Linked DNA regions of Lonchura striata. The main gene of each other region encodes a partner of the protein of the gene in region 2 in a complex. Links are inferred from orthologs where the notes say so. Each region holds a gene or a part of one and is shown on either strand. Other genes may lie near its edges. The genes, in order: RAMP1, CALCR and RAMP3.

The links.
Region 1: the proteins of CALCR (region 2) and RAMP1 are in contact, whole or in part, in a cryo-EM structure (PDB 9AUC), measured with the Homo sapiens proteins. The link is inferred for Lonchura striata from reciprocal best matches to the Homo sapiens genes CALCR and RAMP1. Residues at the interface, in NP_001158210.1 of Homo sapiens: Arg45, Lys46, Met49, Asp50, Gln52, Tyr53, Tyr56, Asp57, Met59, Gln60, Gln61, Thr75, Trp76, Asp77, Gly78, Asn124, Arg126, Phe235, Leu238, Ile242, Thr246, Val250, Ala251, Gln257, Arg258, Trp261, Tyr262, Leu265, Phe269, Ile276; in NP_005846.1 of Homo sapiens: Trp59, Ile63, Tyr66, Arg67, Ala70, Asp71, Phe83, Trp84, Pro85, Val89, Asp90, Phe93, Leu94, His97, Gly98, Phe101, Ser103, Arg109, Ala110, Val111, Arg112, Asp113, Pro114, Ile118, Leu119, Phe122, Ile123, Pro126, Ile127, Val129.
Region 3: the proteins of CALCR (region 2) and RAMP3 are in contact, whole or in part, in a cryo-EM structure (PDB 8F0K), measured with the Homo sapiens proteins. The link is inferred for Lonchura striata from reciprocal best matches to the Homo sapiens genes CALCR and RAMP3. Residues at the interface, in NP_001158210.1 of Homo sapiens: Arg45, Lys46, Met49, Asp50, Gln52, Tyr53, Lys54, Tyr56, Asp57, Met59, Gln60, Arg74, Thr75, Trp76, Asp77, Gly78, Asn124, Arg126, Phe235, Leu238, Ile242, Thr246, Gln257, Arg258, Trp261, Tyr262, Leu264, Leu265, Phe269, Ile276; in NP_005847.1 of Homo sapiens: Cys57, Leu59, Ile63, Tyr66, Glu67, Thr70, Tyr83, Trp84, Pro85, Gln90, Ile93, Thr94, His97, Arg98, Phe101, Ser102, Cys104, Val106, His110, Leu111, Glu112, Asp113, Pro114, Val118, Leu119, Leu122, Ile123, Pro126, Val127, Leu129.

What each region holds. Positions count from the first base shown.
Region 1 is NC_134610.1:38,601,659-38,608,594, forward strand, and holds the start of RAMP1 (receptor activity-modifying protein 1), read left to right. Parts: upstream 1-3,895; 5' UTR 3,896-3,936; coding exon 3,937-3,976; intron 3,977-6,936. UniProt on the Homo sapiens protein: Accessory protein that interacts with and modulates the function of G-protein coupled receptors including calcitonin gene-related peptide type 1 receptor (CALCRL) and calcitonin receptor (CALCR). Required for the transport of CALCRL to the plasma membrane.
Region 2 is NC_134603.1:133,051,613-133,058,542, reverse strand, and holds the start of CALCR (calcitonin receptor), read right to left. Parts: upstream 3,007-6,930; 5' UTR 2,709-3,006; intron 1,993-2,708; exon of another isoform or gene 1,706-1,992; intron 1-1,705. UniProt on the Homo sapiens protein: G protein-coupled receptor activated by ligand peptides amylin (IAPP), calcitonin (CT/CALCA) and calcitonin gene-related peptide type 1 (CGRP1/CALCA).
Region 3 is NC_134603.1:82,686,501-82,693,458, forward strand, and holds the start of RAMP3 (receptor activity-modifying protein 3), read left to right. Parts: upstream 1-3,948; 5' UTR 3,949-3,962; coding exon 3,963-4,125; intron 4,126-6,958. UniProt on the Homo sapiens protein: Accessory protein that interacts with and modulates the function of G-protein coupled receptors including calcitonin gene-related peptide type 1 receptor (CALCRL), calcitonin receptor (CALCR) and G-protein coupled estrogen receptor 1 (GPER1).

The DNA.
Region 1 (6,936 bases), on a different chromosome or scaffold from region 2:
GCTTCTCAGGACACTCATTTTCTCTTAGGAGATTCTCTTCTCTCCCTTAGTTTGTTCTAAAGTTTTCTCTCTAGGCTGTCCAAAGTCTATGGAGAAGATGTCAGCTCAAGAACAGTCACTCTTTACTTTCTTACATTTATTACTAGAAGTGAAGACAGTGGGGAGTGGGAATGAACAATCTTCTGTTCCTGTTGGTGGTCCAAAAACCTCAGTGCCTGAGGTAGGTCTGTTCTTAATTTGTAGGAGGAATTTCTTGCCTCTTTAAGGCTTCTTTCATACTCTGCATTTACTACCAAGAGCCTTGATTTGAAATCACCTACTCAACAGCTGGCACATTGTTTGCTTGGAGATAATCAGAAGGGAAGTAATTATTGCTCACACTACTTTGTGTGGCAGACTAAGCTTTAAATCTTCCTGTCACGTAACATTTAATAGATAGAAAATTATGTAAGGATAGGAAAATATGTAACATATTGGTAATAAGTTTCTGTCATGTGGCAGAAGAGTGAAAGCACCATTCTTTTGCCCCTGCATCAGACTGTGACACCCCAGCTGGTTTTTCTGAATCCTAGGACAGTTTGGAATTTCCACGTTTGCACTACATTTTTCATCTTGCAACACCAGTTTTTTTAATGTAAGCGTCCTGTGGCTTTATACAGGAAAGATTTTGGGGTAATGGATGGGAAGGAAACTCTTGGATTTTCCAGCATAAATCTAAGAAATCTATACATACAGTGTTTTGTATTGGCTCAGCTTAGTCCTTGGAGAGTAAAGGGCAATTCAGTAATTGCTGGTGTTGCTCACATAAACCCCACAGATTTGCTGTCTTTGGGGATTTCCCTTTAAACATGCTGGTCCTTTGGGAAATGGTAATTGGATCTACTTTAAAGTAGCAGGAATAAGATGAGCTTTAAGGTGCCTTGCAACCCAAACCATTCTGTGGATCTAGGATTTTATATTTATTTGTAGGAAAGAGGTGTTTTATTACCCGTACAACCCTTAAGCCATGCATTTTTTTCCCTTATTTTGATGCACTTCTAGGATCCTGGGGAAAATTCCCTGCAGAAAACATCCATTTGTTCCTCTGTGGACCCATCTGGTATCTTTGTTTCTCCTTACGCACTGAACTTGAGCAGCTTTACCAAGTTAATAAAGAGACTCCAAAAAAGGCATCCAGGGTTTAGCAGGTGAGATATTTGGATTTCTTTTTCGCCCTAATTTGTAATGTAGTCAATACGCATGCTAACCAATCACTAAATGTGTGGCACAAAACATGATGTTCACGGTTATTTCCTTCATTCCCACAGAGAGGAAATTGCAGGCGCAGTGCAGGAGGTGAGGAGAATCAACAAGGGTGTCCTGAGTGGCATGGCCATCAGTTCTATTGAGGAGAAGGCCTCTGACATTCTGAGTTCTCAGCAGCAGAAGCACTGAAAGAGGTGAATATTCCAGGCTAAAGGAAGTAAACCCACCCTACAGCCTGACTAGATTATTGCAGCCTCTGGCCCTGCAGGAGGTACCGGGGTGAATCCACTGGAGCAGCGGTTTATAAAGACTGGGAGCTGTAAAACAGGTTGCATTCTATAAATCTTGGTGTACTGGTGGTTTATTACTGAATATGGGGATTTTTGAAGGCATTTTGAACAAGGTAGAGACAGGACCTCTGAGTTTTTAGGTTATGTGGTTATTTTTCTTCTATATAGATAGAAAGGATGAGTTTGACTCACTAGTGCATAGTTCAGAAGGTCACAAGACCTTTAGTTATAAGACCTTTTAAAGCTTTATTGGCCAATAAAACACTGCCAACAAGGATATTTAAGTTTTTTGACCCAATTTTTAAATATTTCCTCTTATGAACTCATGCTACAGTGTAAGCTTTCTTAGTCAGTCATGTTATGACACACAAACCTACAGTACTGCATTCTGAACTCCTTGTTTATCTTTGTAACTGTTTACATTTTTTCTCTATCTTAAACTTCAAAAGTGTAAACTTTTCTGTTCTTAATGTGTCTCTTCTTTAAACTATAAATCCACATTCTCGCTTCTAGCACCTAAGTTTGGAAGACTTTTCCAAGTCAGATCAAAGCCTGTGTTTAATTCTGAGCTTTGGCTTACAGGCCCAAAGTCCTGAGAATCCCCTGTATTTTGGATTCCAACAGCTGGACTGCCTCACTGCTGAGCTGTGTGGAGGGCACTGTCTGCGTTCAGTGCACAGCTGACACCTAAGGGCCAGGCCTTGTGTAGCCTCTCACCCGAAATCCCAGCCCTGGCTCCCTCTGGATCCAAACACTGATGGTTTCTGTCTGCTGCCTGGGCCAGCTCTGGGCTGGAAACCTGACAGAATCAGACTGTGTCTTGTTATTTTCTCTCACCGATGCTTTTGGTCGTGTGGCGCTGCAGCAAGCTGAAGGTGCTGAAATTACAGCCCAGAGTTCCAGGGATGTGTGTCCATCCTTGCTTTAGTCTCCTGCTCAGCTTGGTGCTCTGCTTGCTTTAGGGACCTCCTAGCAGCGCCACTGCCACATTTCCTGCAAAAGTCTTCGGATTAATCTCCTGGCTGACTTTCACAGGACTGTAGATAGGGACAGAAACTCATCCCCAAAACATTAAAATCTTATGCTTGGAAGCATTTTCAGTCAGTTTTAACAGCCTCAAAATGTGTTGTGCTTTCCTTATGGAGTGATTATTTGGTTTTCCAGTGGTGCGTGGGCTCTGCAGTCCAAATTGTTCATATTACAGTATTTTTTCCCTGTTGTTTTGTGTGGGAGATGATGACTTATAATAATTTTTATTTTTAACATGAGGGAGGTGTGAAATGGCCAAGGCATTACTAAATAATGGGGAAATAAGAATCCCCATTTTCCACAGTAAGAAACAAGTATATAATACATTTAAGAAAAGGTGATTCTGCTCAGAGATCACCTAACCCAGTCTCTTGTTTGTACTTTGTTGCAATTGCTGCTGGAAATAACAGCCTTGTTTACTGTCAATAAAGGTTAAAATTTGTTCTTCAAAAGAGTTGGGTCAATGCTGTGCTGTTTGCAGACCTCTTCTGCTGCCTGTCCCCGTGGCAGAGCCATGGCTCTGTGCTGTGCCCTTGGTCCCAGTGCTGCAGGTGAGGCCGCGGCTTTGGTGTCTCGGGCTCTGACAAGATGGAAGCAGTCCCAGGCTTTGCTCTTCACCTCATTACCAGCAGCTGTTGTTCCCCAAGCCGGGCTCTGTGATTAGGCGGGTGCTAATAGTTCAGGAGGAACTGGCTGTCTTGTTCCTCTTGGGAAAGCAAAGTGTGCACGATGTGAAAGACTCGAGTTAGCAAACTCTGCTGTTCCTTTTTTATTGACCTTCGAGAGGGAGAGCTGACCTCAGGCGTGAGAGAAGCGAGCTGTGGGGCAGTGACCCCGCTGCAGCAGAGTCCTGCCCTGCTGCACGGGCGTATCCCGATCCGGAGCACCTGAGGCTCTGCTGCTGGGGCACAGCTCCGCAGCGAGCTGCAGGTGGAGCTGTAGGAGCTCGGGAGCGGTGCTACACTCCAATAAACATTAAAGCGGAAACCACAAAACATTCCTCCTTAAAATCGCCTTCCATGTGTATGTTCAGCCCTAGAAAGGGGGAGAAGGCAGGATGTTTTAGCTAGGGAGAAATCCCCTCGCTGGAGGTGGAACCGGGGTTGAGGAAGGCGGGCTGCTCCGTGCTTTCCTTCGGAACTGTTCGCCCGTGGGCTGCGAGGGGGAGAGGGCGATAAGGAGAGCCCGGGCTCCATCTCCGTCCCGCTGTCCCCGCGGGAGCGCTCCCGCTCCTGCGGCCCGCGCTGCCGCCGGGAGAGCGGAGCGGAGCCGGGCGGGGCCGCGGCCGCCCCGGGCCCGCCCTCCCTCCGGCAGCGCCGCGGGCGCGGAGCCCGCCCGGCCCCGGCAGCGGAGCCGCGGCTGCCGTGGGGCCATGGCCCTGCTCCCGCGGCGCTTCCTCTGCTTCGTGCTGGGTAAGTGCGGCCGCCGCGGCACAACTTCCCCGGGGCCGCCGCGCCAGGCTCCCCGGGACTCCCTCTGCGCCGGGCGCGGGCGTGCATCCCCGGCCGCCTCCTCCGCGCTCCCACCGCTCTCCCTGAAGCCCGGCCAGGCTCCAGCCTGGCTTCGCTGGCGACACAGCAGTAGGGAAAGGAAAAGGAGAAATTATTCCAGGGCGCTTGGCCTCGGGAGCAGTGAGGTGGTGATGCTGTGGGACGCAGCCTGCTTTGTAGGGGGATTCTCTGCTTGCTAGGCGAGCTGGACCGAGGCGGGTTCTGTCTCTGGTCCGTGCCTTTTGTTGGAAATGTTTAATTACTGCCTTTTGTAGTCTGTCTTCCCATTCCTGAGCCGCAGGGAAGAGGAGGTAGCCAGAAGTGCCTCTTCAAAGAGCTGAGGTCGGATGTTCTGGGGTTTACGGGTGGAGGGCTTGGAAACGCTGGAGTTGTGTGCTTGTTTCCATGGGATGCCTCGGTTTCTTCGCTGCTCCTAGCATTTCAGTGCAACAGGTAAAGACTTGTGCCGTGCTTGTCACCTGTGTGCCCTCAACAAAAGCTCGGAGGGGTGGTGATGGTGTTGGTGCTGTGTAAAAGTGTGTTTATTTAAGGTGCTCCAAAGGGAAACCGCACCCCCTCATCTTAAGCTGATCTTCCACAAAAGGTGCTCCTGAGGCAGCACAAATTTTTCCTTCTTTCCCTTCCTTCCCCTGTGCTGGTTTTTTCCCCCCAAACCCTGGGGAGTAACGCAGTGAGCCGTGCTACACATGATGTGCTGATCTGTACCATGTAATTAACTATTTACTACTGTAATTAACTATTTACTACTCCTCAGCTGTGCAGGGCAGGAGCAGCCCGTGCCCTTGGACGAGGCACATTTTCCTGCGGGGTTGCAGGGAAAAGCTGCACAGCCCTGTGCAGAGAGCGCTATCTCCTGCTAGCTAGGATTTCTCTCTGCTCTTTTTTCCCTGCCCCGTCTCCTTTTCCTGACTCTCCCTTCTCTTTGCTGGGGAGCTGTAACTTTTAAAAGTACTCCAGGCTGCTCCTTTCCATCTCCAGTGGGCTCAGGAGCAGGAAGATGCTGCCTCTTGTGTGAACCAGGTGCCCAGTGACAGCTCATCTTGGTGCTGTAGATGTTTTTCACTACATTCTCCTCCTGGGATTTTGTATTTTGAGCACATTTAACAAAAAGACCCACTTACTCTTTTTACACCTTTCTGCTTTTACGGCCCTGCACACAGTCAGGGCTGCCCTGAAATTGCAAGTGGCAACTGAGTGCTCAGAAATCAAGGTGATTTGCACCAATGCAGGTATTTTAAAATGAGATTTTTTTTAAAAAAAAGAGAAGGGTCTGAGAGAAAAACCTTTCTTTTAAAGCTTGAGCTTTAAGAAATTTCACCACTGGCTGCAGTCTTTAAAAAGCAATGGCAGCCAGGGAATCAGTCATCCTAAAAGTCTCATTCAGCAGGCCAGGGATCCAGCTGTACCCCGAGGTAACCACTTCCACTGGGGCTTTTTCTGGGTTTTGACTGCAGCTTCCTGCAGAGGCTGCTCAGGGAGGAGGGGATGAGGCAGGCTCTTGCTGTTACTGGGGCAGTGATGATTGGCACCACACACAGCTCTGTGCTGGGCTGCTTGGATTTTTTCTGGGTGTAGATAACTATTACTGTGAGAGGTAAGAGGCAGTTGCAAATAAGGTTGGTAAAACATTAATACCTTCTTGATTCCCTGCATCTTTTCTCTGTGCTGTACAGCACTGTGTTTGCATAGTCTATAGAAAACGATGCTTTCTTAAAAACAAAACTTCTAGGCAGTGTGTATGACCTTTCCTGGAAAACAGGAATTAAAGTGCTTTGTGTCTTCTCTCAGGCCAAAGCACACTCGGTAATGCCTGCCACTGATTGCAGTTTGAGTGCCTCCTTAATCAAAAGCTAAAGCTCCCTTTAAACTCGAACTTAAGGCTGCTGCCTCTCTGAGAAAATCCCCAATATTTACAGAATGCCTCGTTAGAAATCCCTGACAATAAAGTAAAACATTCCTCCTCCTTTGAGAGCATCTCTGGCATGGAGAGGACTCAAAACTTCCTATGCATCAAAAGAGAAGCACGTGAATAGGAACAACAAAATTGCCTCCACCCTGTAATTCCTTGTACTGCTCCCATAGGTGCCAGTTGTTTTGCTGCAGGAACCAGTGGCAGGTGGGTTTGGTGGGCTGGCTGGAGGCTGTGTGATGTTGTCAGGAAGCCTCTTGGCTTTGAGGAATAGGGTTGCATTTATTAGCTCTGAAACGATGCTGAGTTTAAGTGAAGCACTGGCACAGCAGCCTCCTGCAGTAATGCAAATACAAATGCCATGGCCTGGATGGAATGAAATGAGACCTCATAATGGGTAAAGATGGGCTTGGCATCTTTTACCTTTCCACAGGGCTAGAAATCAACGTTGGGGTTGTGGCAGAGTTGAGGGATGTCTTGGAAAGCCGTGGGTGGGAGTCTGGAGTTGCTGCTCTGCTCTGGCAGCTTTGTTCTGCCTCCCTGACTGGATGCAGAGTCTGGCTCTGTCATTTTTTGGGGGGAAGTTCAGGGCAGATTTGTGCCCCAAGTCCGTGGCTGTGGTCAGAGCCCTTCCCAGCACGGTGCCTGCACCAAGCCAGGACCTAAAGCACCACTGGGTTGGAGCAAGAGGAGCATTAAAAACCCATTAGAGGGGAAATGCAGCATTTTAGCTCACTCAGATAGCTAAATGCCTTTTGCTGCTCTAAAATACAGCCACGGCTGGGGTTTGCCAGGTCAGTTCCTCTATGGATGGGTGATTACCAGGGAATCTTCATCCCTATCTGCCATTACACTGCCTGCAGAGCTGGGTGCTTTTAATCATCAAATCCTCTAATGAAGCTGCTTCATGGTTTCAGTCCCTTGTCTCTGTGCTTCTACAGCATGAGCTTTT
Region 2 (6,930 bases):
GAACAATACAGTTTACTCTGTATAGCTTTTAAAAACAACTATTAAGAGCTGTGTGGCTCTTATCCATGATTCTAAAGCAGTTACATGTAGAGATGTTTGAAGTGCCATCACTAGCCAGATTTAAACATTGCCACTTCAACTACAAAGTAAATTTGGTTGTCACTCACTATAAATGATAATGAAGATGTACACTGAAACCCACCCTTTGGAGGGGTTAATTGGGATTTTGCCATTTATCTTAACAGGACCAACATCTACCCAAGATTTATAGAGTTTTCATACTCTAATACATACCAGTAGATACAGAAACACAGTTTTTAGTTCATTCAGAACTATTTCATGTCAGCTAGCATATGACAGCTATAGTAAGAATCAGAGTGGTAGCTTAGCAAAAGTTGCCTACCAGCAAAGGTTATCGCATGTCTGAAGAAATTACACTGAAGTATTAGCTCTCCTGTATTTAATTTATCTACTTGACAATTATGCCTAGGATTCTGAGAGGTGAATTAAATTCTCTCTTCAGCTCAACACCACCTGCAGTTTGAGCTGTTGGCAGCAAAGAAATGTCATCCTGGTCAGCCCTGATACACAGCCCTAAAGCAGCATAAGGACCCTTTCGCTGACCAAACACAAGGGTTCCCCCAACAGCGTCATCCTTCAACCACTGAGGGGGAAAAGGAGCAGAAGCAAGACCTTAATTTCATTCAGTGCCTATGAAAAAGCAAAGGCATTATATTGTGATGCCTTGTTTAATTCATTCTATACTCCCTCTAATCAGACTACTTAACTCTAAAGTGCACAGTCCTGAGAAGAGTATCACACACTGCATTACCCTTAAGAAGTTCAAGGGTTACCAGTGTATGTAAAAGCTTGTCAGGAAGACATAATCTGTTAGATATCGACAATATTGACTTTGAGAGGTCTTAGGACACACATCTTTCTATTGACTCTTTTTTATGAATGATTTTTTCATTCATCATTTCAGCTACAATTGCCATTCTGTAACTAAAATAAACCAGAAGTTTTTCTCTCCTTTGCAAATTGTCAACTACATTAACCTTGTCAAAAAAACCTACAAGAATGAAATCAATATAGCAATTTAAAGACAAAATTGACAGGCACTATATTGTATTTGGACAGATTCAGTAAATAGCCTCCTACATCAATCTACTGTCATCAATGGCAATATTCTAAAACCTACTAATGTTGTTTATTACATTTGCGGTGTGAAACGCCAAAGTAAGTACAGATACCGGTCCAGCAGAAGAAAAATAACACGGAGATAACATCTGACGTGCCCGAGAAGCACGAACTAGTGACTCAGGTGTCATTTAAAGGCGCTGTAGTTCCAGCGCGGAGAGCGGCTGCTCTACAGCCGGTACGCTGCCGGCACTGACTTGCTCCCCAGCGCAGAAGCCGCAGCGCAAACTCCGGGATCCACCGTGCCCCGTGCCCGCGCTGCGCCCCGACCGCCGGCTCCGGGCAGCGGCGGCCGGCCGGCCCTCGCCCCTTCCCACAGGGTGCCCCGCACACGCTGCCCAGCGGGTCGGAGCTCCTACAACCCACTCCCTCTTCCACCTAAATTTTGGGTGCAGTGCCAGCCAGAGACTGTGTTCCCCCCGGTACCCCGCTCCCGCCTGCCCCGCGGCCGCTGTCCCGGGGGCGGCGGGTGGGAAGGGCTGGCGGCTAAGTTGCCAGGACTTACGGTGGCAGCGCTACCGACGCTGGCGCGGCACCTCTCCCGGCCTCCCGTCACCTCGGGCCACCTCCGCGGCGGCTCCGTGCCCGCACCCGAGCAGCCCGGCCGCCCCTTCACTCCTCGGAGGGGCGCATGGCGCTGCCCGCTCCCCGAGACCCACCCGGTGGGTCTTCGCGTCCCGGAGGGGGCGGACAGCCACTGGCCAGGGTCGAGCCCCTCCGGCGGGGCTGCGCCTCGGGAAGCATCTGCCTGCTCTCTCCCGCGACGCGCCCACTCCCCGCTCCACCCCGGGCGCGGCGGGGCTTCGCGCCGACGTCGGTGCGGGGCGGCCGGAGCCCGCCCGGCGGCGGCGGCAGCGCCTCCCCCGCCCCCGCCTCCCGCGGCTCCGGCGCTGCCGCCGGCGGGGCGGCCGTGCCGGGGCCGGCGCTGCGGGGGCGGCGGGAGCGCGGCCGTGCGGCGCTCCCCACACAGCGCCCGAGGAGCGGGGGTCCTGCTGCGCGGGGCCGAGAGACGCCCGGCCAGGGGCAGGGACGCGTCCCCCATGCCCCTCGTCCCCGCGGGGGAGGGGGGCTCGGCAGCCCGGCCGACTGTCCTTTGTACCGGAGGTCCCTTCCGTGCGGGGCCGGGAGTTCCCGGACCGCCATCGGCCGGGCTCTATCCGCACTGGGGGTGCGTCGCTCCGCAGGAGCTCGGACCCGGCGATGTCAGAGGCTCGGCCGGCGACCTCGCCTCCTCCTCCTCCTCCTCCTCCTCTTGGAGGAGAAGATCTTCAGATCCGAGCCAGCGTTGAGCTTCTATCGCGGGCATCTTTTGGAAAGGAAAGCCTGGGGAGCATAGGGCGTGGAGTGTGGGACCCCTGCGATCCGGCACCTGGGCGGGTGGGGCGCTGCCCCCGCAGCGGATCGAGGGTTGCTGGGGCCCGTGGGCGCCCCGGGGATGTTGTCCCGCGTCCTCCCGTCTGCCCCGTCTCCTCTGATGCTCTTCCAGCTTGCATGAACCATCTACCTACCGTCCACCAAGCTGGGGAGGATGAGCAAGAGGTGGCCGCAGCGTTCATCCGACGGCAGAGTCATCTAAATTCCCGTTTCTGCTTCAGAAGTCATGTAAACGTTTTAAACTAACTCTAAGAAGAGGCCGTGAAAGACCTGGTTCCAAGCACCTCTGGGTACCTCTGGTCTCCTCAGAAAAGCAGACCCCAGCTACACGGGCATCCAGGGGCAATTAAGCCAACACCCCCCCACCACCTCTCGGAAGAGCGTCGAGTGGTGGTGCATGAAGTAGTGCAGGGGAGGACTTTTCTGCTATGACTGTTGCAAGCTGCCCAATATTTAAATATCCAGAGAGCCACAGTGAGGGTGGGAGCCCAGCGAACGCACGGTGATTCACCTCAGCGCTCCTGACGAACATGCCAGCGCGGATAGCAGGTAGTGGGGTGTCTTCCCAGCAGGTGGAGTCAGGAGGCAAACAAACTTGCTCAAAAGGTACCGCCACCCGGCTGAGGACAGCTTTTTAATTTCGTTTTTCTGTGTGAAGGGTTTTGCTGCCATCAAATAAAGTGAACCCTGGCTTTAGAGTCGCCTGGCTTACTTCTGAATGGAAAGTTAGCACCTGCTGAAGCAGTTCTCAGGTGTTTTTCTTCCAGCTGCCACTTTCTCTTACAGACTACAGCCAAATTTTACAGCTTGCCTTTCTTACAGAAACCTGCATGCAAAAGCAGCTGGCTGCCTTTTTGCGGCTCAAGCCATTCTGAGAAGGGTGGGAGGGACAGGAACAAGGGAGCTTAGTGCTCCGAAGGAGGTGCTGGGCTTAGCATGCACCAAGGTCCAAGAAAAAGGAACTTTTTGCCACTTTTCCCAGCAGCTGATAAAAGAGTTCCTCCAGATAATACCATTGAAGAAAATTGTCCTCCTTCACATTGGGGTGGGGGGGGAAACCATGATAAGAATTGAGAGACTCAAAGAATACTGATGTAAATTGTTATCCCTTTAGGATTTAAACTTTCACTGTTGGTTTTATCCTTTTATCTTTTTATCTCCTGTGGAGAAAAGAGAACCAGTGGAAGCCAAAGAGAAACAGTGGAAGCTGCTTTTATGAGCTCTCATAGTGCCACAATTCACTCTTCACAGCATTCTCTGGTAGGAGAAGTTACATCAGGGGATGTTCTCATTAGCTGCACTAGGTCTGGCACCACGGAGCAGCACCCCTATGGACTCACTGCAGTCGTGTCCCTCTCATGCCACAGCTGCCCCGCGGTGGGCTTGGGTGAGTCACAGTTCTAAATGCTTCAGATGTTTGTGGAAGAGGAGCTGCTCAGAAGGAAAACCTTATGCTGAAGCCTAGGGAAAGTGGGAGATTGCCCCTTCCTGACACTGCAGCAGTAAATTGAAAGAGGCAAAATAGACAGCCAGTTTCTCCCAAGGTCCAGCTATTTAGGGTTTTTTTGTATGTTACCCAGCTAGTACTGTTCATTCTATAATTGGAATGCATCACATTTTAACTGATGGGTTTTATATTTTTTTCAAAATGGATTGCATGTTTCTCTGTTTTCTTAGTGAATAGTATTCATCTGCTTAAGTATAAATCTGTCATCCCATAATCTGGAAATAGCTTTCCTAAAGTCTGGGTGGTTTTTTAATGAATTCCTATTTTGTTAACCATTACCTTGACACAGAAGCAGCACTTTCTCATTTGTTCTGCTTTAAGCAATTCCCCTGTGCCCCATGGGACTGCAAGCATGAGTACTTACTTCTTAGTATGTGTGTGAAATACTGATCCCACCCATAAATAACTACTGGAAATTATTAACTGTACCCAATGGTTTTATTTCCGCCTGTGCTCAGGAGTCATTACAACACTGAATTCTGCAGAGAAGAGGCTGAGCTAGTGTTCTATGTTGTGATATTATAGTTTTGCTTTGTACGTGAAAAGTGAGGGAGGTCCAAACCTTCTAAAATTTCAGTGATTTTTTTTTTTGTTATGAGGGAAAATATTTTTCCACACAGTATGTAAATTTTGCAGTTGTGTAATTTGTCTCATTTGCACCATCTTTTATTCTGTAAATGTATTTTTTTTTTTCATTTAATGGTTCTAGAAGTAAGGATGCCACTTGTGACAGGCACTCTGCTAATTTTCTTGGTCAGGTGAAGAATTCAAAAGAAAAATTCCCAGCTGGATCTATCAATTGTGTAGAGATATTTCCAAAATCTTTTGCAGATGCCTGCATTGCAAGCTGTATGGAGACAAGTTATTTTCTGTCATAAGTTATATATCTTTTTTGCTTGGCATGGTGTACCCCATAGGAATTACCCAGAGCACAGTATTATCAAAGAAGAGTTTGCTCAGATTTGGTTTGTTTGAAGCATGGGAGGTGTGAGCATTGAGCTGTCTACAGAAGGCATGCTGTATCTTTTGATAAAATGATTGTAAATAATGCATTTGAGTGAGGTCTATATTCAGAACTTGGATAAAATACTGGAATTTGCAAAACACATCATTTAAATAAAAAAGGTAATACATTCACCCTAATCCAGTTCAGGGTCAAAAGAATGGGACTTTGCCATTGGTTTTAGCATAAGTTATGTCAGTCCCTATAAGGCCTACATAGGAATATTTAATTATTTACATACAACTTGGTATTCTTCACTCCTGGAAGTGATCTGGCTGAAAACTCTGAGAACAGTTACAGCACTATCAGCAGCAATGCAGGCTTCCAAAGCCTGCCTGCTGGAAAACACATCAGCTCTGTGAGGGGGAAATTCATAGAGTGATTATAGCTGCCATTCAGACCAAGCATCCCTAATGAGATAATTTTGCTTTTCATTTTTGGAAAAGGAGATCACTCCAGAATTAGGGGTTTGCAGAGTGACAGGTAAACATATTTAAGAAACTACTGTCAGTTGCAGAAGTCCATTCCCAACATGAAAGGAAACATCAGGAGAACTACAGAAATGCTCAAGAGTCTGGAAAACACGCAAACAGTTTAGACTAGGATTATTTAAAGAATAGAACAGTGTTTTATTTCTAATCCCATAAACTATCCAATTATTCAAGAACTGTCTTTTTAAAACAGCTCTTTTCAAAATTAATGATTGTTAATTTTTTGTTAGCTTTGTTTTGTAGAAACCTGAAAAATCAGGACTCATGTATTTATCCAATATCAGGTAACTCATTAGAGTAATGTATAAATTGTTTTAATGTCACAATAGAGTTATTTAAATCAGTTGCATAATGCACAATAATCTCAGTATTTCTCTTAATGTACAAAAAAGGCATGGGTAATTACATTTGTCTCTTTGCTTAAATTTATATTTTTAACTTATATTATGTCATTTAATCTCCCTGAGTTGATTCTTCAGTTCACAACTCAGGATGTTCTAAGAGGATCTCCAAAACATTTTAAAGTGAAGGAAAAAAACCCTGACATATGCCTCTAGAAGATAATTTGTTGGGTTTTAGTGTGTTTTTTGGGTTTTTTAAAGAACAATGCATTCAGTCATTAATTTGGAGAAACAAAAGCAAAGAAATAGAAAATGAAAAATACAAAAAGTTCACTTGTATCCAAGTTTTCAAAGAATAAACAAAAATGAATAGAGACATTCCAGTTGTTGTACTTCTGCCACATTCAATTTTCTCTAGAAGAGGCTATTTTAATTTAGCAATACTTGTTTTCATTAGTACAGCACTCAATAGTTATCCATATTGGTAGTAGAAACACAGTGGGTTTTGCTTGCACTGTGTAGAGAAGGGAAAGGAAAAGCAAACAAGATAATGAAAATCTAGGGAATGTTTCCAAAGAGTGGGCATCTGATTCCCTCAGAATGAGCAAGTATTTTCTATCTTCACTTGGAATCCAACACCCCAGGCTTCATTAAGCCAGTGTCTAGCTGTACATGATTCTAGAGAGAATGTCAGCCAAGCATCAAAAAGAAAATCTGTTCAGGAGAATTAAATGCACTGGCAGTTACAAGAAATGTCCTCTCTAGTGCTTGTGCGGTATATAAATCATAAAATATTCTAGATTACACAAAATTTCACTAGAAACTATTTAAGAGCCTTATGAGATGTCTACAAACCACCAGCAGGCATATTTAATAAATCATACATACTTATGAAGTCACATCAATGTAAGTTTCCCCTTAATACAAAAATGTATTTAAAACAAGAAATTTCACATTATTTGAAGTTCAAAGTACTGTAAAAATCTATTAAACCTCAAGACTGAAATATGTATT
Region 3 (6,958 bases), about 50 Mb from region 2:
AAAAGGTTGTTTGCAGTCATTTTGGAGTGAATCTCTTCGCATTACTGCAATACAATGGGAGTTGGGGGAAGTGGTCAGTCTTACTGAAAAACTGCAAACTGCTTAAGTTTTTTGAACCATCTTGAGGACTGTTCTACTGCTGTCACAGTTTTGTTCAAATGTGAATCAGACTTACTCATTTTAGAACACGTTGCTGAAGATATCACCTACCATAGCTGGCTTGTGATCCAATTGTTATAGGTAAAAATTATCAAGCCTAATTAATAATTAATAATTAATAAATCAGATTTTTATTCAGCGATCAAGATTTGGTCTAAGACAGCCACAATCGAAAGAACAGAGCCGAGCCCGGGATCGGCACTGGGTGAGACATAGGTCCAACCGCTACAGCATAGGGTCTCCTATGTTCACACTGATTGTCCTGTCCCAGCGGTTCTTATACAGTTTATTCTGCCCGAGGCAGAGTTTTCTGCGATCAAGATTTTCTTCCTTTCAGAGTAGTATATTCACATAGTTTCTTTTCTCCAGGTCAAGCTGAACAAAACTGTATCCAAAGCGTGATGTAAGTCCATCGTCGAGTTACTGGAACGTGGCATTGAGATGTATCTTTCCGATGTATTTATGAAGTATTCATCGCTTCGGAGTTCCTCGGATCACCTTGCTACGTTCATTAATTTGCAAATGAGGTCCTCCTCTCTCTTGTCAGCGGTTTTGACATATCTTGAAGCAATCTCCCAACTCTGGCTTGCATGCTTAAAACCTTTTAAGAATATTTCTGACCAACATAACATATTCTATATATATTTCTTTTTATAAGCATGAATTATCCAAAATACACATAACACAATGCAACATGCTGCATTAGTGCATTTACCTATAAATTCTATCAATTTTTTCTACCTCAGAGATACTGTTTGCACCTTCAAACTATGTGCTGCAAGCACAAAATGGTAAGTGCTTCCTGAATCTTGAGAGTTGGAAGAAGTAACACTCACTTTGCCAGTTTTTAATCTGAAACAGGAGAAGAAAACAAATGCAATTGATGCAAAAAGACCCGACACCATTATCTCCAGGTGTGTTACAAAAAGCATTGCCTTTATACTGTATAATATACTATACTTTTAAAACATTTTAAACATATAATATTGCAATAAACCATGATGCTTAGCCTCCTGGAAATCAATCTAAATTATTGAAAATACTAACTGTATTTTCAGATTTGCGAGAAATGGAATTTGTGATGGAAATCAAGATCTTACTGTTAGAAAGAATGCTATATGTTATAGGTAAAAATTAATCTAGCCAAATTAAAAAAAAAAAAATTATTTAGCGATCAAATTCTATCTGAGCCAGCTACAAAGAAAAGGACAGTGCTGAGACTGGGATCGGTGCTGGGTGAGACACAGGTTTGACCAACACAGCATACCCCTATGTTTCACACTGACCGTCATGTGCAAGCAGATTTTATATGGTTTATTTTGCTCGAGGCCAGGATTTTGGCAATCAGCCTTTTCTTTCCATTCAAAGTCCCACAATTTTATAAAGTCTCTTTCCTCCGTGCTGAGTTGAACAAACAGGAGTCCAGGAAGCAATCCTTGTCCAGGAAGTACATCCTTGATGGAGTTAAAGGGAACTCAGTATTGAGATGTATCTTTTGGTGGTTCCAGAGATCTCAATCTTGGGTAGTAGCCAGGACAATCATTGCCTGGGAGTTCCTAGATCACCTTGAGAAATGACCCATCTCGAACCTAAGGACCTATGTGTATTAACTTGTAAATGAAGTCTTATCAGCTATAGTTTCAACATATGTGAAGCAACCCCCTAGCTCTGGCTCGTATGTTTTATGCCAATAATTTCAGTAGTATGAAACATTACATACCTATTGTTATGAACAAAACAGCCTGGCTGGGACACTTTGGCTTAAGCTAAGTATGGACATTGAAATGTTAATTAGCTAATCGCTCCTGGGAATCACCTACACCCCCACCCAAACTAGGACTAGGATGCAAAATAAGCCAGTGGAATCATGGGAGGGGGTTTTGGGGATGAAAAGTACCCCAAAATGAAAAAGAGGGGCACAGTGGAGGGGGCTGGATGGGTGTGCTGGTTGGGGAAAAGGGAACCCCATCCCTAGTCTGTGTTTGACCTGTCACCATAACCTGCAGAGGACCAGATTGGATTGGACTGTGGGAAGCAGGCACAAGGAGAACAGACACTTTACCTGGTGTTACCAGGAGGGCAGGAGAGGGATAGCTGCTGCCGGATTTCAGGATTTCGGCAGCAGGCTCTGCACATCCTCCCCCTACCCTGTGACTACCAGTGTACCAGGAGGAAAGGAAAGAGGACAGTCTCCTGGGACTTCAGATACAGACTGGACACCTCTTCACTTCTGGCTACCAGTGTGCCACGGAGACTCCAGGGACAGACTCTGCACGCCTTCTCACCCTACAGCTACCAGAAGAAGCTACAACACCCCCCCCTGCCGAGCTGACTTTTTAATAAAGAGCTGAACACTAATAAAGGCAAAGACCTTCTTCATTTCACCTATCACCCTGCAGGCACGAATTATCCATATTACACATAATGTATAGATGGTATAACTAGTCTGTGGTGTATGTGCCTTTATGCTTGTCACTTTGCTGCAGCTTCTTCTGGCAGGGGCAGATTGCAAACACTCTTTACAAAGCAGAAATGGTAGCCCCTGTGCTGAAGGATGATCTCCCTGAGCTACGGATTATTTATGGTTTATGGTGTTTTACAAGCTTTGCTTCCAGCTAAGTGGAAGAAGTGGCACACAAGGGATAGGAGGTTAACTCTCAGTGACACACTTAAATGTCTACAGAGCTGTTTCAACATTGTATTCCCAACCTTCTCTGTGGTTTCTGAAGTTCTCCATTTCCTTCAGCCTAGACAACAGAATAAATCAGACAAAGGTTGTGTACTGAAAACAGTGGTTACAAAGGCACATTTTGGGGTCCCAGTCTCCAAAAGTGTTTGGAGCACTGTGCAAGGCAAGTGTACAAAGTCAATGTTAACAACCTGACTGATACCTAAAAGTACTCTTTGTTCCTGTGTGTGGCTTGAAAATCTCTTTTGAAATTTGATGGTACATTTGACCTTTAATAATGACAGTGATTTAATGTTCTACTAGAAGGCCATTATTGAGGTGGAGTGTCCATGTACCCAGAAGAACAGTCTGAGTCCTCGTTACTGAGCAATACTACTATTTTTAGGTAAGAAAAGTCGCCTTTAGCAGCTTCCCAGTCTGGTGTTTCTCGATGGATATGCTAATTTCCTAGAGAGCTCTAGGAACACAGCTTTTAAATATTGATGAAAATCAGGAGCTGTACCATCTCTGAAAAGAGACAGGCAAAGATGAAATTGCAACATAAAAATACACATACACGTAGCATCTTAGAACTCCAGGCTGCTCTGGGTCTGTGTGGGGTCAGACAAGCTCACTCCCCATATTCAGCTGTAAATACTGAGCATGCCAACACATGCCGTGCAATGGCTGCAAGTGAGCTAACACAGGTGGCCTTCCAGCATCTCATGCCTTCACCCCCACCGCCAGGATGTTGTGATAGGATGAAAGCAACTGATCTGGCTCCCAGGGCAAGGGGTGAAGAATCCCTGAATCCCTCAGACAGTTACAACCAGAACTGTCACCCTGGGGGTAGGTGCCTTTCCTCTAGGCAGCCACACAGACCGATGGCTGGGAGCGGCATCGCTCCTGCCGTGGTTGTTGGAGGAGCAGGAGGCACAGCCGCGCTTCTGTGGCCGCACACACAGCACACTCGCACGTGCTTGCCCCTGCTCCTGTCCCTGTCCTGTCCCGTTCCGCCCGGCCCGGCCCGGCCCGGCCGCCGTTTCCGCCCTGCTGGAAGCACCCGGGGCGGAGGAGCTGCTCCCCTGCGCCCCCGCCCACGCTGCCGCCGCCGCCCGGGGCTGGACGCCGAGGCATGAAGAGCCTCCCCTGCGGGCGGCCTGAAGCCAGTTCGGGCCTTCTGCGGCTGCGAGCTGGCCGCCCCATGTGGGCTCCGTCCTCCGCGGCCGCTGCCGCCCGCGCCGGGATGGAGGCGCAGGGCAGCCGCCGGCAGCAGCTCCCCGTCCTGCTGCTCTGGGGTAAGTGGCTGGCGGAGCTGGCCGGGGGCGTCCCGGCAGTGTGCGGTGGGGCTCGCCGCTACCGCTCCGGGGCTGCTGCACCGGGACGGGCTGAGCATCCTCGCGGGTGCGCAGTCTCCGAGGGCAATGCTTCAAGCCGGGACGTGGGGCTGAAGTTCGGGGAAGGTGGGAGCGCCCCTTCTTTGGCTAGAGAATCCCTTTGGGAGGGGGTCTCCGGGCCTCCCTTGCCGGCGGGTCGGGACGCAGCGGGGATCACTTTCCCTCCGGGGCTCTCCATCCCGAGCATAGCGGCGGCTTCGCAGCGAGAGCGTTCCAGCCGCGCCTGGCGGGCAGCGGGGCCGGTGGTCCCCTTCAGCATCGCGCCGACATCTCTGAGAGGAGTCCAGGCCCCGGGGTAAACAATCTCTAACTTCTTGCCTTAGTCAGGATTTCCATCTTGGATCCCACACGGATTCTGGGGAGGTGTGTTTGGCTATTGGGAAAGGTTTTTTCCTGAAGAATGAAGGGCTGATTCCTGTTAGAGTAGTTGAGTTTCAAGCACGTAGCTATCAAGCACAGATATCCTTCAGATCTTTCACTTAGTCTGCCTTGGCTGCTGGAAAAACTATTGTTCCTTGTCAGGTAGATTGCTTAGGGCTCTCATATTTAATGTGTTGCAGTCATCTGAAGTTGCCAGAAATCAGCTCTGATCATCTTCACTCAACAGTAAGCTAAGAGATGTAGTTGATTTCCTGTGAGTCACACTTAAGTAACAAAAATTCAAGCCTGGTACCTTTAGAAGATATATCTGAGGACTTCAGAACTTTGTTATTTTTGACCCCTTCCAAAACTGCTAAACACTGCAATATTTCTATGAAAAGACCCACAAACAAATAGACAGTTTCTACAGTGCTCAGTAGCATCATCCTTAGCTGGTCTGTCAACAGAATGACATGCTACATGCACAAATTTCTGATTCTCTGTGGCTTGAGGACTTCTAAAATCTTACCTTAGTTGCTCAGATTTCTGTTATTCCTCAGCTGAAAAGACAACCAACACTTGTATTGACATGTGAAATATTTATGCAGTCTTGAACTTAGGGAAATAGGCAATAATCTTTTTGTATGGGGAGGCAATGTTGCTGTGATTTTTGCAAAGTAGAATTATCCACTGGAGATTTGTTTTCAGAGATTTACTAGAGTGAAGGACAGTGTCGCTGTGGCTCAGGAAGCTACAGGACATTTTTCACCAGAGAGGCACAGATAAATCAATTGTGCTAGACATTTTTAACTGTGCCAGTTCTAGTCCTAATTGAATAACGCAGACACAAAAGATTTTAAGAATATCTGTTAACTGATAATACATTACTTTTTCTTGGAATTGGAAAGGGTAGATATAATCAAGAACTAATTAAATGAGACTAGTTTCCTAGTAGAAAAACTTTAGAGTTTTAGGATGTGAACTCAGGTTTTTTTATAAGAAAAGCCTAAATTGGTAGAAAACTAAATTGCTTATTTGGAAATACAAACACAGTTTAAAAAATAGTTATTTTGTAAGAATATTTATTTTAATTGAATGGTCATTCTTATTTTTTTTTTTTTAATTAAGCACAGAGCTGTGACCTCTGTCATTAAGGTGAAACCACTATTCCTCAGTGCTAAGCTCACTGAAGGCAGTGGGAAGCCCATCTGGGTGGGGTGTGGGACTGTAGTTCTGTAACCACAGGCAACTACTTTCTTTATCTTTCTGCCTAGGAGTTTTGACTCATTATGTCTATGCATAACTACTTGTTGTGTTGTGCATCCTTAGTGAGATGGACAAAAAGGCAGTGTGTTCACTCAGTGATTGTAGGAGAAGCTGAATTTACAGAGTGTGGAGGGGAAAGAATGCATCAGCCGAGGTACTTGGTACACAGACATGTCATCAGTTCTGTGAAGTGCAATAACATCCAGAATGGGTAAGAGCTGGAAACACCAGCTGTCAGGTGAAATCCTCTGATTTGGCTTAGCAGAGCTGTAGATACTTGTAAGACACCTACTAACAGTGGAATCTAAGCACCTAAGAAATAGCGTTGTATTTACCATCATACCAAATTTTCTTGGTATACTTCTATGTATGGAAACTGAGGTAAGAAGAGGTAAGGGCTTGACCACTTTTAACAAAGTCGTTTTTTTTATACAGGTAATTGTTTTGGAATCCCTGCCCAAGTGTTTCTCCTTCATTCCTTATGTAACACCTGCAGTTCCATGGTACTATTTGTATTTGAGTAAAAAGATGCTACCAGAGTAAAGCTGGGTATTTTTTAAATTCCAGAGTAATCTTCCTCAATATATTTCTATAAACCTATTTCAAGAGAGATAGTGTGATCCTTATCTGGAGCAGTTCTTGTGTGCAAATTTCAAAGATAGTCAGTTGGTTTTTGCATTTCATAATCTGTTTTCACAGGGGTCAGCCAGGCTTAGTGCTTTGGTCACAGCTGAGCAGCTGGACAGTTGGAAACAGCCTGGTCCCAATTACATTTTTACTTTCTGTTTTGAAGACTACCTCATCTGCAAACAATAATGAAAAAGCTGAGTATAAAAGTCCAAATTCTGTAAGGTCCTGAGCTGCCCTTATGTGAAACATGGCATATATAAGTCCTGGAGAGTTTGGATTCCAATGATAAAAAAAAAAAAAATCCAACAGGAAACAATTTTAGTGGGTTAAAGTTTGAAAACCAAATCAAGGTTTTTTTTTTTTCCCCATTATTTTCTTATGAATATCATGCTGTTCTGCAGCTGCAAAGGGTGGAACAAAGAAAGGGAATACCATCGTAGGAGTTCTGAATTTAATAGACCAAGGTGAGTGTGTGTGT